Oryctolagus cuniculus: one gene and its partners. The main gene of each other region encodes a partner of the protein of the gene in region 3 in a complex. Links are inferred from orthologs where the notes say so. Each region holds a gene or a part of one and is shown on either strand. Other genes may lie near its edges.

Evidence for each region. The genes of interacting proteins can lie anywhere in the genome.
Region 1: the proteins of RAB11A (region 3) and RAB3IP are in contact, whole or in part, in a crystal structure (PDB 4UJ5), measured with the Homo sapiens proteins. The link is inferred for Oryctolagus cuniculus from reciprocal best matches to the Homo sapiens genes RAB11A and RAB3IP. Residues at the interface, in NP_004654.1 of Homo sapiens: Phe36, Leu38, Glu39, Asp127, Leu128, Arg129, His130, Leu131, Arg132, Ala133, Pro135, Thr136, Leu156; in NP_783322.1 of Homo sapiens: Asn367, Thr368, Leu369, Ser370, Ile371, Glu372, Pro373, Asp412, Arg424, Thr428, Cys431, Asn432, Thr435, Tyr439, Leu444, Val445, Lys446, Gln447, Gln448.
Region 2: the proteins of RAB11A (region 3) and SH3BP5 are in contact, whole or in part, in a crystal structure (PDB 6IXV), measured with the Homo sapiens proteins. The link is inferred for Oryctolagus cuniculus from reciprocal best matches to the Homo sapiens genes RAB11A and SH3BP5. Residues at the interface, in NP_004654.1 of Homo sapiens: Tyr8, Asp9, Tyr10, Leu11, Lys13, Glu35, Phe36, Asn37, Leu38, Glu39, Ser40, Ser42, Thr43, Ile44, Phe48, Lys58, Gln63, Trp65, Tyr73, Ile76, Ala79, Arg82, Gly83; in NP_004835.2 of Homo sapiens: Asp42, Ile45, Gln46, Leu49, Glu50, Asn53, Thr56, Ile59, Asn60, Glu63, Thr64, Glu67, Lys240, Tyr243, Leu247, Leu250, Glu251, Ile253, Ser254, Asp255, Ile257, His258, Arg261.

What each region holds. Positions count from the first base shown.
Region 1 is NC_091442.1:72,360,520-72,365,183, reverse strand, and holds part of RAB3IP (rab-3A-interacting protein), read right to left. Parts: intron 4,250-4,664; coding exon 4,046-4,249; intron 1,948-4,045; coding exon 1,819-1,947; intron 571-1,818; coding exon 458-570; intron 1-457. UniProt on the Homo sapiens protein: Guanine nucleotide exchange factor (GEF) which may activate RAB8A and RAB8B. Promotes the exchange of GDP to GTP, converting inactive GDP-bound Rab proteins into their active GTP-bound form.
Region 2 is NC_091435.1:150,921,417-150,925,485, forward strand, and holds the end of SH3BP5 (SH3 domain-binding protein 5), read right to left. Parts: coding exon 4,002-4,069; intron 2,939-4,001; coding exon 2,678-2,938; intron 2,384-2,677; coding exon 2,163-2,383; 3' UTR 1,022-2,162; downstream 1-1,021. UniProt on the Homo sapiens protein: Functions as a guanine nucleotide exchange factor (GEF) with specificity for RAB11A and RAB25. Inhibits the auto- and transphosphorylation activity of BTK. Plays a negative regulatory role in BTK-related cytoplasmic signaling in B-cells.
Region 3 is NC_091443.1:88,885,140-88,890,345, forward strand, and holds the start of RAB11A (ras-related protein Rab-11A), read left to right. Parts: upstream 1-2,061; coding exon 2,062-2,101; intron 2,102-5,206. UniProt on the Homo sapiens protein: The small GTPases Rab are key regulators of intracellular membrane trafficking, from the formation of transport vesicles to their fusion with membranes.

The sequences.
Region 1 (4,664 bases), on a different chromosome or scaffold from region 3:
TTTTTTATTAAAAGCATATTCCTTTAATGATATGTAATAATGTTTAACAGCACTATCTTAGGTAGGGCAAAAAACAAATGCAAAATACAGTGTTAGAAGGTCTTGGAACTTCTAAAAGTATACTTTACACAAGAGGAAAAAGAACAATCAAACTCATCAAAATCAATTTACAAACTATTCTTCTAGAACCAGATATATACCATTCACCTACTATATTGTCTAATTTTGAAAGAGCTCTACTAAAGTGGTTATAAGTATCAATTTCTAAAATAATAAAAACAATGCTTCTTAAGTGACCTCATTTTTAAAGTCACTTGTAAACTGGGCATACCCAGTATATTTTTATTTGAGCCAGGATTCAATGCTACGTCTTCTGGCCTCCCAACTCCAAGCAACTCCAACACATAAGACTTCAAAAACTCAGTAGCTCCCGTGAGTCACAGGTGTAAAAACCTACTTTGGTCCTCCACATTCAACTGCAGAAGCTTTCACAAATCGAATCGGCTGCAGCCCCACTGGTTCAATGCTCAGGGTATTGTTTTCCACGGCCTCCAGAACAGCTGAAGCCAGCTTCAACAAAGTGAAAAGTATTAGACTTTATGCTTGCAGGAAAATACCAACGTTGTACTCCACAGTCATCTAATCTTATACATGATTCTTCCCCCAAGTTCCACTAGCTTGGCCTTAGCCAACAAGTAAGAAAGACATCGCATAATCTTAATTTGATTTCTCTTATAATTCAAGCACTGTTATGAAAGGCAATTCAGTTATGGTGAAATAACTTTTCTCATGACCTGGAGGAGGATTAAAGTTATTAATCCCAGTCTCTGTGTCCTCCCTACCTACAACTAAATACCCACTGTTAATGCCACTTCAAAATGAATATTCTAATGCCTTATGCCACTGAACACATGCAATTTTTTTGTGTGTTGGTCATTTATCACATAGCAGTATATGCTGGTTATGGCTATTACTTTCTGAACTTGCACATATGTGCACGAAGTAATTCACTGAATTATCAGATATTAGATCCCAGATGGAAAGGGCACAACCAATAAACAACAAATGAAAAAGGCACACTTCTCAAGCCTGCCAAGATTACGAACACTGAACGGCCCACCTGAATCCAGGCACACGGCCACAAACAACAACACAGATTCCTATCCAAAGTGTTACACAGTTAATCTGAACTTCTTCCTACAAATTAATGTTATAATTAAATCCTTGAAAGACGTAACTAAGACTCTCAGGATTAAATTTCTTCAATACTGACAGGATATTTGTGGATAAACCTTCCACATGCAAGAACAAATTTAATCTTTACATCTGTATAAAATTTTAAAAAATTTTCTATCAACCTAGTACATACTTCATTTTATCCTGTTAACACCCTTGGGACTTAAGCAAAGAGGGCATTATTTTTCATGCTTTAAAGAAGAAGAAAAGAAAAGAAGTGTGATTTCATCATGTACAGATAAACTCAACAAATGCCTTAAGCAGAATGTACAGAGAACTTCCTTATGCTGAATCTTGGACTACGAATCAAAAAATATAAGCCCTACTCCCATAGACATTTCATCCTTCTCTTGAACACAATGCAAGTCTCAGTATGAATGATGCTCTGCTCAAATAAGGAAAGATATTCAGTAATCAAATGCCAAGACATTAGGATCTAATACAGGACGGAGAAAATGCTTGAGCATGACACTTCATGATAATCTACTTATATCAGATATATTAAAATATGGAACAGGACTTCATAAAACGTACAGAATCAAATCTAATGTGTTCCCATTAACATGGAAAAAAAAAAGTTACCTCACTTTTCGAAAATGTCAAACACGGAAAGATATCTTCCTGATAGATTTTGTCTAAGAAAGGACATGTTCTGTCCATTGTTGGCTCATCCTTCCAAGACCTGAATTCATTATACAGAGACAGATCAGCCTAAACAAGCCAAAAGGAAACACATAAAAAAGTTTTAAAAAGTGCAAACAAAAAACCATTTTGTAAAACCAAAACATAATACAAATATTACTAAAAAAGAAATGCTCCTTATTTAACATAATGAACTGGACCATTCTTAATTATCTATAATACACAGTACCAACTTTTCTATAAGAAAACTGACTTTTAAGAAAACTGTCTGATGGGCCTAGTAGTATCCACATAGTATCCATGACGGTGTCCACTGATGCTGCCATTACCCTGTTGGAGCTCCTTTGAAGACACAGGTACGTACTGTTCTGAATATAAAAAAGGATGATAAGTATTTTCTGAAATTAATGAACAAGTACTTTGGAGTCAAGCTAAATAAAGTAAGAGTGAGACCTGATTTGAGGTCATAAGCTGACACTAATTGTTCTATTAACCTGGAGGCACTTAGTTTAAAAATGCCAAGATGCTTGCTGTGTAGGCAACTAGACAAAAAAGCACACACACAACCTACTAAACTATCTTAAAACTCAGCATTTATTTAAATAGTTCGGTACATCAAGTTAACTACCACCTGAACTATCCACAGAGGCGCCTGCCGGCACTGCCTTCCTAGCCACACCTGTGGCTGGCCATCCCCGGCTGCCCCTCTACAGTACATCTTCCCCAAGTCCTCTTCCCTACAGACCCTCAGGCTCCCTCAGCCCAGATCAGCACCTGCACCAGACACGCCAACCACCCCAGCACAGAGCAGTCTCACTGGTCCTCACACAGCGCCACACCAACCAGGTCCACAGTGCTGGGTGTGCTATAAACGCCCCACTGACAACAGCCGTGGCGGCCTCTCGGACGCTTAACCAGATGTGCAAGCAGTCTACACAAAGGCAAAAGAAGGCTGAGCATATCCAAGCTTTCCTATAGATTTCCTTTTAAGATATCAATGTGAGCTTTTTTCCTCCCAATTCAAATTCCTTGAATCAAAGTTAAGGGTAAGGAATTCCAAGATGGCGGAGTAGGGAGGGTGCTTATTGCTGTAGTCTAGAAGATAGTTTTAAAAAAGTGGAGAGGGGCTGGCAATGTGGTGTAGCGGGTAAAGCCACCGCCTGCAGTACCAGCACCCCTTATGGGCGCTGGTTTGAGTCCCAGCTGCTCCACTTCCAATCCAGCTTTCTGCTGCGGCCTGGGAAAGCTGTGGAAGATGGCCCAAGTCCTTGGGGCCCTGCACACGCATGGGAGACCTGGAAGATGCTCCTGGCTCCTGACTTTTGGATTGGCACAGCTCCGGCCACTGTAGCCAATTGGGGAGTGAACCAGCAAATGGAAGACCTTTCTCTCTCTCTCTCTCTCTCTGCCTCTTCTCTTTTCTCTGTTATTCTCATTTTCAAATAAGTCTTTAAAAAAAAAAAAAAAAAAAAAAGGCCGGCGCCGCGGCTCACTAGGCTAATCCTCCGCCTAGCGGCGCCGGCACCCCGGGTTCTAGTCCCGGTCGGGGCGCCAGATTGTCCCGGCTGCCCCTCTTCCAGGCCAGCTCTCTGCTGTGGCCAGGGAGTGCAGTGGAGGATGGCCCAGGTGCTTGGGCCCTGCACCCCATGGGAGACCAGGATAAGTACCTGGCTCCTGGCTCCTGCCATCGGATCAGCGCGGTGCGCCGGCTGCAGCGGCCATTGGAGGGTGAACCAACGGCAAAGGAAGACCTTTCTCTCTGTCTCTCTCTCTCACTGTCCACTCTGCCTGTCAAAAAAAAAAAAAAAAAAAGTGGAGAGAGTGCAGTCTCAGGGAAGAGTTACGGAGAAACTCCAGCAGCAAATCTGGATGAGGCAGATCGCTGACACCACCCACTCTCCTTCATACAAGCCATGACAGTGTGCTCCCTAGATGAAATAGTGAGATGAAGAAGCCTACCAAGTTTCCAGCAGGTTTTCCACAGTCAATCAGGTGGAGAATGGAACTGACGAACCCCTGAAAGCAGCCAGCTCTAGATAAAGCCTCCCCCCTCTTACTAGCACATATTTTGTACTCAAACCTTTGCCAGTAAAAACCACAACCGACACTCAGTGCTGAGAACTGAAAGCATGAGGAAAGCCAGAGGGGACAGTCCTTGACGAGTTACCTCTTTGCAGTCTTTTACAATTGGCTGTATCACACTGAGGTCCTGATGACTGCCACTCATGGCACTGCTTGTACTTTTATTCCTCTGATGCCCCTTTTTAAACGGTGTCTTTCCACCTGGCAGAGGCTCCTGTGTAGGCGAGGTTGGAGAACTGGACAACACAAGCGTCTTCAGTGCAGCTACTTCAGCTTGAAGTACATCAATCTTGAAAAGAAACCAGCATCCTCGTCAGCACTACGTGTTTTGTGACAGATGCCCCTACATGTTAGCAATTTGGTCCAAACACTTTCAAAGATGGAATTTAATTTGTACTTCCTGTGGACTAAGAAGATAAAACCAAGTTTTCTGATATTTTCCTATGATTCAGATTCAGCTAGTACTCACAATGTCAAATAAAATTATCCTATCTTATGATTGGTTCTAGTTTACTCCTAAAACAGTAAAATCTAGTACCACGTAGGTTCTTTTTCTCAGTGAGAAAATAAATATTAACATTAAAATGTGGTCATATAATTCTTTTAATGACACATGTGATACAGTGTTTTAAACCATTTGGTTCTAATATAAATGAACACCGATATAAACTATTTATTTCCCCATGGTAGCTATTTTTTTATAT
Region 2 (4,069 bases), on a different chromosome or scaffold from region 3:
CCGTGGCCTGAAGCGCTGGCATCCCATATGGGTGCTGGTTCTAGTCCCAGCTGCTCCTCTTCTGATCCAGCTCTCTGCTATGGCCTGAGAAAGCAGAATAAGATGGCCTCAGTCCTTGGGCCCCTGCACCCGCGTGGGAGACCTGGAGGAAGCTCTTGGCTTCAGATCAGCATAGTTCCAGCTGTTGCAGCCAATTGGGGAGTAAACCAGCGAATGGAAGATAGCTCGCTCGCTCTCCCCCTCTCCCCGCTCTGTGTGACTCTTTCAAATAAATAAAATCTTTAAAAAATACTATAAAAAGTTAGTGAAATGTATTTTTGTGGTTTCTGTGTATTTACAAGAGAAATCTGCCACCCACACACAGGTGGAGGAGCTGCAAACCCTCCTAGTGTGGCTGCTCTTCTGGAAGGGAGAAAGTGAAACAATGTTTCAACTGCGGGGAGCAGTTTTTCTGACAGTAATTCAGGAAGGGGTCTGGGAATTCACAGTGCAAGGGGGTTTCATGAGAACTGAGTAGCTGTTTTATTTGTAAATCTAGTGGAAGGGCCTTCTGGGAGCTTTTCTGTAGGACAGGAAATATTAACTAGGAAAAAAGTATTTCTCGTTCACAGTGCAAAGGGTTATGAGCTTTCCTGAAACCACGCACTCTGTCCCCCACAGCAGACTTCAGCGTGTAGCACACTGACACGGGGACATCTCCATGAGACACAGGGCCCAAGATGACCATCGGACTCCCAGACCTGAGTTTTCCTCCAGGTCCGAAGCCCACGTGCGCCCCAACTCCCAGGTAGCAGCCTCTTGGGGTGAGGAGGCAGCGCACAGCTCCGGCGCTTGCCAGCTTCCCTTCATCCCCGCCCGCTGCCTGCTCGCCGCTCACCGCAGCAGCGGAAGGGGAACCGGGTCCCTGCTGTCAGGATTCCCGACCAGGAGTGACAAATGAGAACAGGTGGCCACCACCTTCATGCCCCACCCTGCGCCAAGAACACTGGGATTTTCTTAACTGAAGTCGCCAAACACAAGGTTTCTTAAGCCGTTTTTATTACACTCAAGGTATAAGACAAGTACAAAATAATCTTGTAAGTAGGATATTGTATCAGTGAATAAAAAAGGAGAAATCACGCAGTATGAAGAGCTTTGCAAACGCCTAAGATGCAGACGCTGCGACGTAACACACAGCCTGAAAGGGAGAGGCTGCTTTTCCCCTCGTTCAGAAATGCTGGATTTCCCGAAACAAAACAGGGCCAAAATAAAATAAAATAAAATAGGGTGCTCTAAGTATGCGTAACCAAGAGAGGAAGAAAGATAAAGCGGTCTTAACACTACTATTAGCATACCAGACGCCACTGCTCCTGTTTGACAGCCTTTGCCAACACATGCCTACTCCCTTCCCTTTCAGGAACAGCTTCCTCTAAGGAACTCTAGTGCTGCAAACCCCTTAAATAATTTCCTTACGTTACAACCTACAGAGAAAGGAACACTGGTCAGTCTTGGAGAACAGTGGAAGCCATTCCTCACATGCACTTCTCGTCGAAGATCGGCTGGCTGGCAGGGTGAGGTCTCTGCTGTGGAACCTTCCCTCCTATTCTATGAAACGCCCCTTCCGTCCGCAGCCCCCCGCCCCCGCCCTGGCACTCATCCATCCCACCCCCAAAAGTGCAATTCCCGGTGACTTTTTTCTGCGGCCTCTGAACGCCATAGGAAGTGGATGACAGCAAACTCCGTTCTCGGTTTCTTGAAGCCTTCACTGGGTCAAAACGGTGCTCGGAACACCCTGAAAAGGGTGTCTGCTGGGGGAGGCAGTGGGGATGGGGAGGGGGCCTGGGGAATGAGGGAGGGAACACCTCCTTCCTCCCAGCCAGCCTGAGGGGCAGGTGCACGCCGGGCCTGGCTCCGCAGCTCTCCCAGGAACGCGGTACTGCTTCCACAGCGCCGGCACACAGGCCGCTGCGAGCCGGGCCCAGTCCACCCGCCACAGCAGCTCTGCTCCGAAACACCAGCCAGCTCAGGGGTCTTACCAGAACAATCTGCAGCCCCCAAGGTCGCTGAGACCTCATTAGTTCAGTTCAAAGTAAATGCTTAAGATTTGGCATAGAGTGAACAACTATTGGCACGGTGCTCTCCAGTTTCCTGTATAAATAGTATTCACAGGGCCACGGGCCGGGTCAGCCGATCTGCACCACGTTTATGTCGGCAATGAGCCCCTCTCTTCCCTTGGAGCACTGGAGGGAGAGCTGCTGCACCCGGCTCTCCAGGGCCTGGCCCTCCAGGGACACGCTGCTCGGGCCCTTCCGGCAGCCGCCGCCGCCGCCGCCGCCGCTGCTGAGACCCCGGCTGTGGCTGGCTTTGTCACTTGTCTTATTTTCTGCCCCTTCCGCCCTGTCTCCTGGGGAGATAGAGAGAGCTCAAGTGAGTAGATGGGCAGGGGCCAGGAGGCCCACTCAACCCGCGGGGCTCCAGGGGCTGCCCACTGCACAGAAAGGGCGGCTCCCACACTCGAGCCCTGGAGAGCACAGGGCCTGGGCTCTGGCAGGAGCCCCCTGGGGAGCACGGCAAAGGCGCACCCGGGGCCCAGGCGCCTGGCACTGGGGGGACCCTGAGACCCAGCCGAGGGGTGGAAGGGTACAGAGTGGCCTGCCACAGCGCGAGGCTCCATGGACAGGGCAAGGCTGCAACTCACCTCGTTCCACCTCGCACTCGGGGGAGGAGGCCCCGCTGCACTCACTGCGGGGGCCCAGCACTGGGAACATCAGCCCGAACTCCGACAGGGACACGGGGCTGGGCAGGTCCAGGCTGCCGGGCCTCGCCACCGCAGGGAACGGCTCGGCTGTCTCCGACGGGCTCGTGGGTCCGGAGCTGAAGCTGGACACCGACTGCGTTTCTGAGTCATCTTCAGACACGAAGTTGCTGCAGGTGTCGTCTTCAAAGGCCTCCGAGGCCACTGGGGCGAGGGGACAGTCAGTCACACGGGTGCTGACGGTCACCTGCCCCTTCGACTTCCCCTCCCAGGGTGCCCTGCTTCAGACACAGCGCAGGGAACACACTGCGGCCCTGCCAAGCCTCTCCGCAGCCGGAGCCCTGACATGAGGTCCTCGCGATACCCGTAACCCTGCCCTCCACCTGGAAGAGCAATCAGCGGCAGAGCGGCCCTCTTGTCCACCTGTGTCCCTGAGACACACAGCTGCACAGGAAGGGGTCTGGCCCCGCCCACGCCAGGCTGGCCAGCTCCCCTCTGGCCCTACAGGAAAAGCAAGAGCCACTGGAAGACTTGGCCCTGCGGAGCCTGCAGCTGGGGGTCTTTGTTAGCCCCCGCTAACTCCTGAGCTCCGCAAACATGCACTCAGTGCCTACCTGGGTCCCTGTTTGCTCCCTCCGCAGGGCTCTGGAGCTCCGCCTGCCCTGGGGACCAGGACCATCGAGGCCCAGAGGCAGGGCCCTGGCCTCGTCTCCAAGTCTCCTGGAGCCCGCACACAGCCCATGTGTTACTAGGTCTTTCCTCCTCCCTCGCCTTTAGAAACAGCCTGGCAGCTCCCACAGAGAATTACTCCAAATGACAAGGGCTTCAGGAACGTTGGGGACACAAAACAGGCTCAGACCTCAATCCAAACCCCAACTCCACACCTTGCTGAGTGGTAACCTAACTTCTCTGGGCTCCAGCTTTCTCTCCGTGGAGGATTAATGAGCGGTAATTCACACACAGTCGCTGCTTAGATGATGGTTCCCTTTTCCCTGAGAACTAAAGAAGTCCTGGGGAAGCGCCCATGGGCCTTGTAGCACAGAAAAGAGGGGTGCAGGCCAGTGCCGGAGGGGTCTCCTGATTCACCATGAGAAGCCAGGTCAGATCTGTTGGGTCCCTGCCTGCCACGCGGGAGACCAGTCTGGGATGACTTCCAGACTCACGGGACCCCAGCATCCTGGGAAGCCGTAGCCTGCTGAGCTCTGAGACCCTCCGTGCCGGCCACAGAGGATGGGGACCTGGGAGCGCACCGCACGGCCCGACTCACCAGAGACGGCGTCCGGCTCTGGTTTGCTCCCCGCCAGGCCCTCCGCAGCCACGCTGCTGCCCTCCGCG
Region 3 (5,206 bases):
GTGGGATTAATGCCTTTCTCCAGGTAGGGGCTTCATTCTTACAAGAGTGAGTGTTAGGAAGTGAGGTGGCTGCTGGTGTTTGCACCTGCCCACTTGCCCTCCTGCTTTTCTACTAAGGACGCAACACAAGGCCCTGCCGGAAGCTGCTACCGCTCCCTTGGGCTTCCCAGCCTCCCAAACCACGAGCCAAATCTTTTCTTGTTAAATTAGCCAGTTGCAGGTACTCTGCTGTGGCAACAGGAAATGAACTAAGCCGCCTTCCTTGGGCCGCTCTTGTCTACGTAATCCGGCTGGCACCAGGGCTGTCTGATGAATATGTAACAGTTCAGAATAGGTGTTCTGCAAATAGCTGCCTCTTGAGTAATACTAGAATCTTGCATCTCCCCCAGCTTGTACGCTCACCACCTGTGCAAGGTAGCATCCGGGACCTTAGATAAACCACCTATCGCTTTATTTGGGCAGAGAAAGCATGGAAAAGAGCACTGTATTAGTTTTTTCTAAAAAAAAAGATTTTATGGGGCCAGCGCTGTGGTGCAGCAGGTAAAGCTGCCGCCAAAAAAATATTTTATTTATTTGAAAGTCAAAATGACAGGAAGACACACACACAGACCTTCCATCATGCTATTGGGGTCGCTCATGAGGGTGGCAGGAGCCCATGCTCTTGGGCTGTCTCCTGCTGATTTCCTACGTTCACAGCAGGGAGCTGGATCGGAGGCAGAGCAGTCAGGACTACAACTGGCACTCAGACATGGGATGCTGGTGCCCCAGGCAGCGGCTTAGCCCCGCCACAAGACTGGCCCCCGATTTTATTTTTATTCCTGCCCTAACCAATGATCACAAACTTTTGAATGCTGGTCTCACTGGGCGAAACTCAAGGTGTCAGCGGTGGGCATTCTGTGGGGGAGCAGGGAGTGGGGGTGGCAATAGGGGGTGGGGTCATAGTTCACAGACACTTTTGGACCAGAGTGTAAACTGAGTTTGCACACAGGCGGTGGGACTGTGATACTAAGGGGCGGGGGAGGCTTTGTCTGTGAGGCTTTTCTTTGGCATTCACAGAATTCTCCAAATACCAGGAAGCTCTGCGGATCACTCGGGTCAAAGGACAAGGGGCAGCCCGTGCTCTGCCTGTCCGGTGAGGACGTAGGCGGCCACCAGATGGGACTCTTTCCTGATGACTGTTGATGAGGACGGTGGCAATGTATGGAGAGCATCCGACACATTTCCAGGGAGGAGCGGGTGAGGGGATCCTGTACTGACTGAGGCTGAGGACGGGCAATTCCAGCAAGAGGAATTCAGTTTCACTGAAGCTTCTGAATCAAAGCTGGAGGCAGAGGGTCCACGCTATAGAGGGCGAAGAGGCCAAGGACGAGCACCCCAGGGGGCAGAGGTCTTCGTAGGCGAATATTATATTTTACTTTTTCTAATTCTCACCCTACCAAAGGCAAGACCCAGTATGTCACATTTGTTGAAATGCAAATAAGTGAAGTAAATAAAAATGTGACTTCGGGGAGGAAAAAGAAAAAGCAAGCTGAGCAGGTTCCACCGAGATTTGAACTCGGATCGCTGGATTCAGAGTCCAGAGTGCTAACCATTACACCATGGAACCGCCACGCGTGTGCTGCCGGCTCCGGCCCTCTAATCCTTAGAGAACCCCGCCCCCATCGCACACCCAACCATCAGAAGCGGGTTCCACGCGCTCCCGCGCCCCGCTGCCCGGCTGGGCGGTGCCAGAAATGAACAAGAGGCCACTACGACTGGCACCAGCTGGGAAGCCGGGACTCAGGGTTTCGTCCTCTGAAACTCTTTCGGAGGGTGAGACTTGAGGACTGACGCTACAGCGGGCGCCGACGCACCGCCCGTCCCCGGCTGGGGGCGGGACGCCACCTCCCCGGAAGTACTTCCCTCAGGGGCTGGGGCCTGCCGGAAGTGGCGCAGCGGCAGGGCGGGGCTCTCCAGCCGGTCCGGCAGCTGAGGCTCCGCGCTCGGGTTACCCCTGCAGCGACGCCCCCTGGTCCCACCGAAGCCGCCGCTGCTCCCGCCCCTTCGCCTCTCGGCCGCGCCATGGGCACCCGCGACGACGAGTACGACTACCTCTTCAAAGGTGAGGCCGTGGCCCCCGGCCCTGTCCGCCCTCGGGGGGCTCGGGACACTCCCGGGGGACCCGCGTGCGGGCTGCCCCAGCCCCAAAATGGGCCTGCCTCAGCCCTTCCTTTCCTTGCGGGTCGTCCGGCCGTCCCCGCACGGAGCTTCCCACGGCCGCTCGCACCGGCGTCCCCACGGCCGCCTCCCGCCAGGCCTCGGCGCCCCTCGCTGTGTGCGTGTGTGCGCGCGTGTGTGCGCGCGTGTCCTCCCCCACCGCGGCCCCGCGCCCCTCCCGCCCGCGACCTCTCCCTCGCAGCATCAGCCCGGGCCGGCTCCATCCCCTCCCGGCCTTGGTGACAGGCCCCGGGCCGCTCCCTGGGCCTGCCCTTCGGCTCAGGCTCCCACCGCGGGGCTTTTCCCTGCGTGTCCCCTTCCCCCGCGCGAGCCTTTCTCGTCGCCCCTCCCCTCGGGCGGCCGCCCCCCGCTCCCCGGCTCGGGCCCCCACCCCACCCCACCCGCCGCGCAGCCTTCACGGGCCGGCCGCCGCCCACCCCCGAGTTGGGAACTCTGTGCCGAGGGCCGGGGGGCTTGTCCATCACCCCTGCGTGCACTTGTCGCAGTGGCCCGACCGGCGGGGACTTCCCACCTAGCCTTTTTTTTTTTTTTTTTTAACTCCTCTTCCGACCCAGCTGCAGCCAACCCGGGATCACTCGGTACGCGGCTCGCGGGAAGGGGTTGCGGATGGGTGGTGGCTGTTATCCCGGCCAGACCTGAAGGCCCAGTTCCTGAGCAGGAAAGGTTGCGCGCTGCACAAATACTAGCCTGCTTTATCACTGTGGACTGGTTGCTTCCTGCTGCAACCCTGGGAGGATCCAACAGGAAGGGAAGAGCCCTAGTGGGCCGCCTACCTTTCCCAAAAGGAGGGAGAGGGGACTTGTGTGCTCTTCGGGTCCATTTAAACCGTGGTGATCAGAGAGGGGAACGTGTGTGCCCTTGGACAGTACGTAATTGGAGCGTGGGGAGAGGCGAGAGGAGTCGGGGAGAATCCAGAGTTTTTGTTTTTTAATCAGCGAAGGTGAAGGGCTCAGTTCTCCGTAAGAGACGAGTCCAGTAAATGCTTTTTGTTCAGTGGCTGCGCTCGGCTCTGGTAGTCCTCCCTCCTGAGTGAGGGCAGCCATCAGTAGTGAGCTGAACAAAGATCATTACGGGGAGGAAGAAGCCATTGCTATTAAAGCTTTACCGTGGAGGCGGAGTTGAAAGAGTGGTGAGCACGGTGACTGTTTCTGACTTTGCCATTGGTTGCTTAGAATGATTGACCGAAGGAAGCAGGAACCATTGCTTTGCTTTACCAATACTTTTGCAAATCTCGGTGATAATATGCTCTTACCTTAGTCCTCCGAGGTGGAATATTCTATGTATAGGGTGAGTATAGGCTGGGTACCTTCGATGTCTACGACCTCCGTGTTGGAAAGTCATTACAGTGAAAAAGGCACTCGGTTCACTTTACAGAGACGAAAAGGAGACCTGCATTAGTTTGTGTACTTTTTGCAGAAGGCGTCGGAATTGATGGGAAGTTACTTCAGTCCCTGGAGCCTTTTGGGTTTAGTCATTAAAGGCAGGTTTTTGTTTGTTTTTCAAATCCTTTACAATGTCATGGGCAGTTAGCTACCTTTGAAGTACTTTAGAGCAAGGTAGACTCTCAGGGTTTTTCTCCTGATTGGTTTGGAACTGGAATGTTGGGGAAAAAAACAACCCCAGAATATTAGCCATCCTGGTTTCAGGAATTAGACCATCCTTGTAACATTGAGAGCACAGGGTTTTGGAACCACAGACACCTGAGTTCACATTCCACTCTGCTCTTGGGTTTACGACCTTGGGAAAGTTAAGTGTTTGGAGCCCCAGCTCTGAAGCAAACTCCGGGACTGGCTGATCAAGCCTGCCGGGCAGTTACGACTTTAGCTCCTGTGAGGGCTCAGTGCATTGAAGGAAGTTACTGTGGATCTTGTCCGTTTTTTGAACTTTATTTCTAAACGGAAGAGCATTTACATATTATTAAAGAAGCATAGAAGTAGGAACTTCAACTATTTTATGTTCATGGGTTAGGGCTTCATCTTGTTGTGCTGTTTAAAATATGGTGTTTAAAAATTCTGCTGAGGAGGATTTCCATGCCTTCGAAGCTCTTACAGGATATGAGTCACCTTTTTTTTTTCTTAACTTCAATGCTTGATTATTTAGCCAGTCTCTTTATTTATACAATTCTCATTTTAAAGCTAGGCAAGAATAATTTTACTTTAAAATGGTTTCCTTCTACAGAGATTTGGTCACTGAGATGAACCATTGCTGTCTCTACTTCAAAGAAGTCTTACCTAGCAGACTTAATAGCTGAAGGAAGTGGAGTTAATTTGTAACTCTAACCAGTTGGAAATGAAGGGTTGTTTGGATCAGCGTGGGACGGCGTGGTCTAAATGGGAATCTAATGTGGGGAGCGTAGGACAGTTATTCTAAATTACGTATTTGTTCTTGCACATTAATCTTCACTCAAGCTCAGCAGTGAAGCTTTTGGTTGGGGGGATTGGTTTTATTTTTTGAAGCTTGACTTTTTATTTTAAAAACTGCAGTTCTTTAAGTATTTACGCACAACATGGGTAAGATCCCGAGGGACACATAAATGAAGTAGGCAGCGGCTGTAGTTCCTGTTGACAAACACGGTATCAGACACCGGTCCAGTCTAAGTCACTTGTTCTGAAAGCATCTGGGTGTGCAGTCTTGCTCACCGCCCTTTCTTTCCTCTCGGTGGAGGTCAGTAGTAATTAGGCGTCAGCTGATTGTCAGTGGAAACAATCCCAGTGAAGGTAGTTGTCCTGCCTCTTAGTAGTTTTTCTTTCACAACTTTTGGTTGAGCAACTTGAATTCTGCTGAATCAGGAAAAACTTGTCTTAGACTTCAGCCTTCTGAATGCTTTTGATTTTAGAAAGACTTGGTGAGGTTGGACTGTGACATCCAGGTTGATGAAAACCAGGATGAAAATAAGTGGTTTCTCCTTCAGATGATAATTTTTAGAGCTGATGTACTGCGTTTGATGGAATAAATACGAGTTCTAGTCCAGTAAATTAGTTTGCAGGAT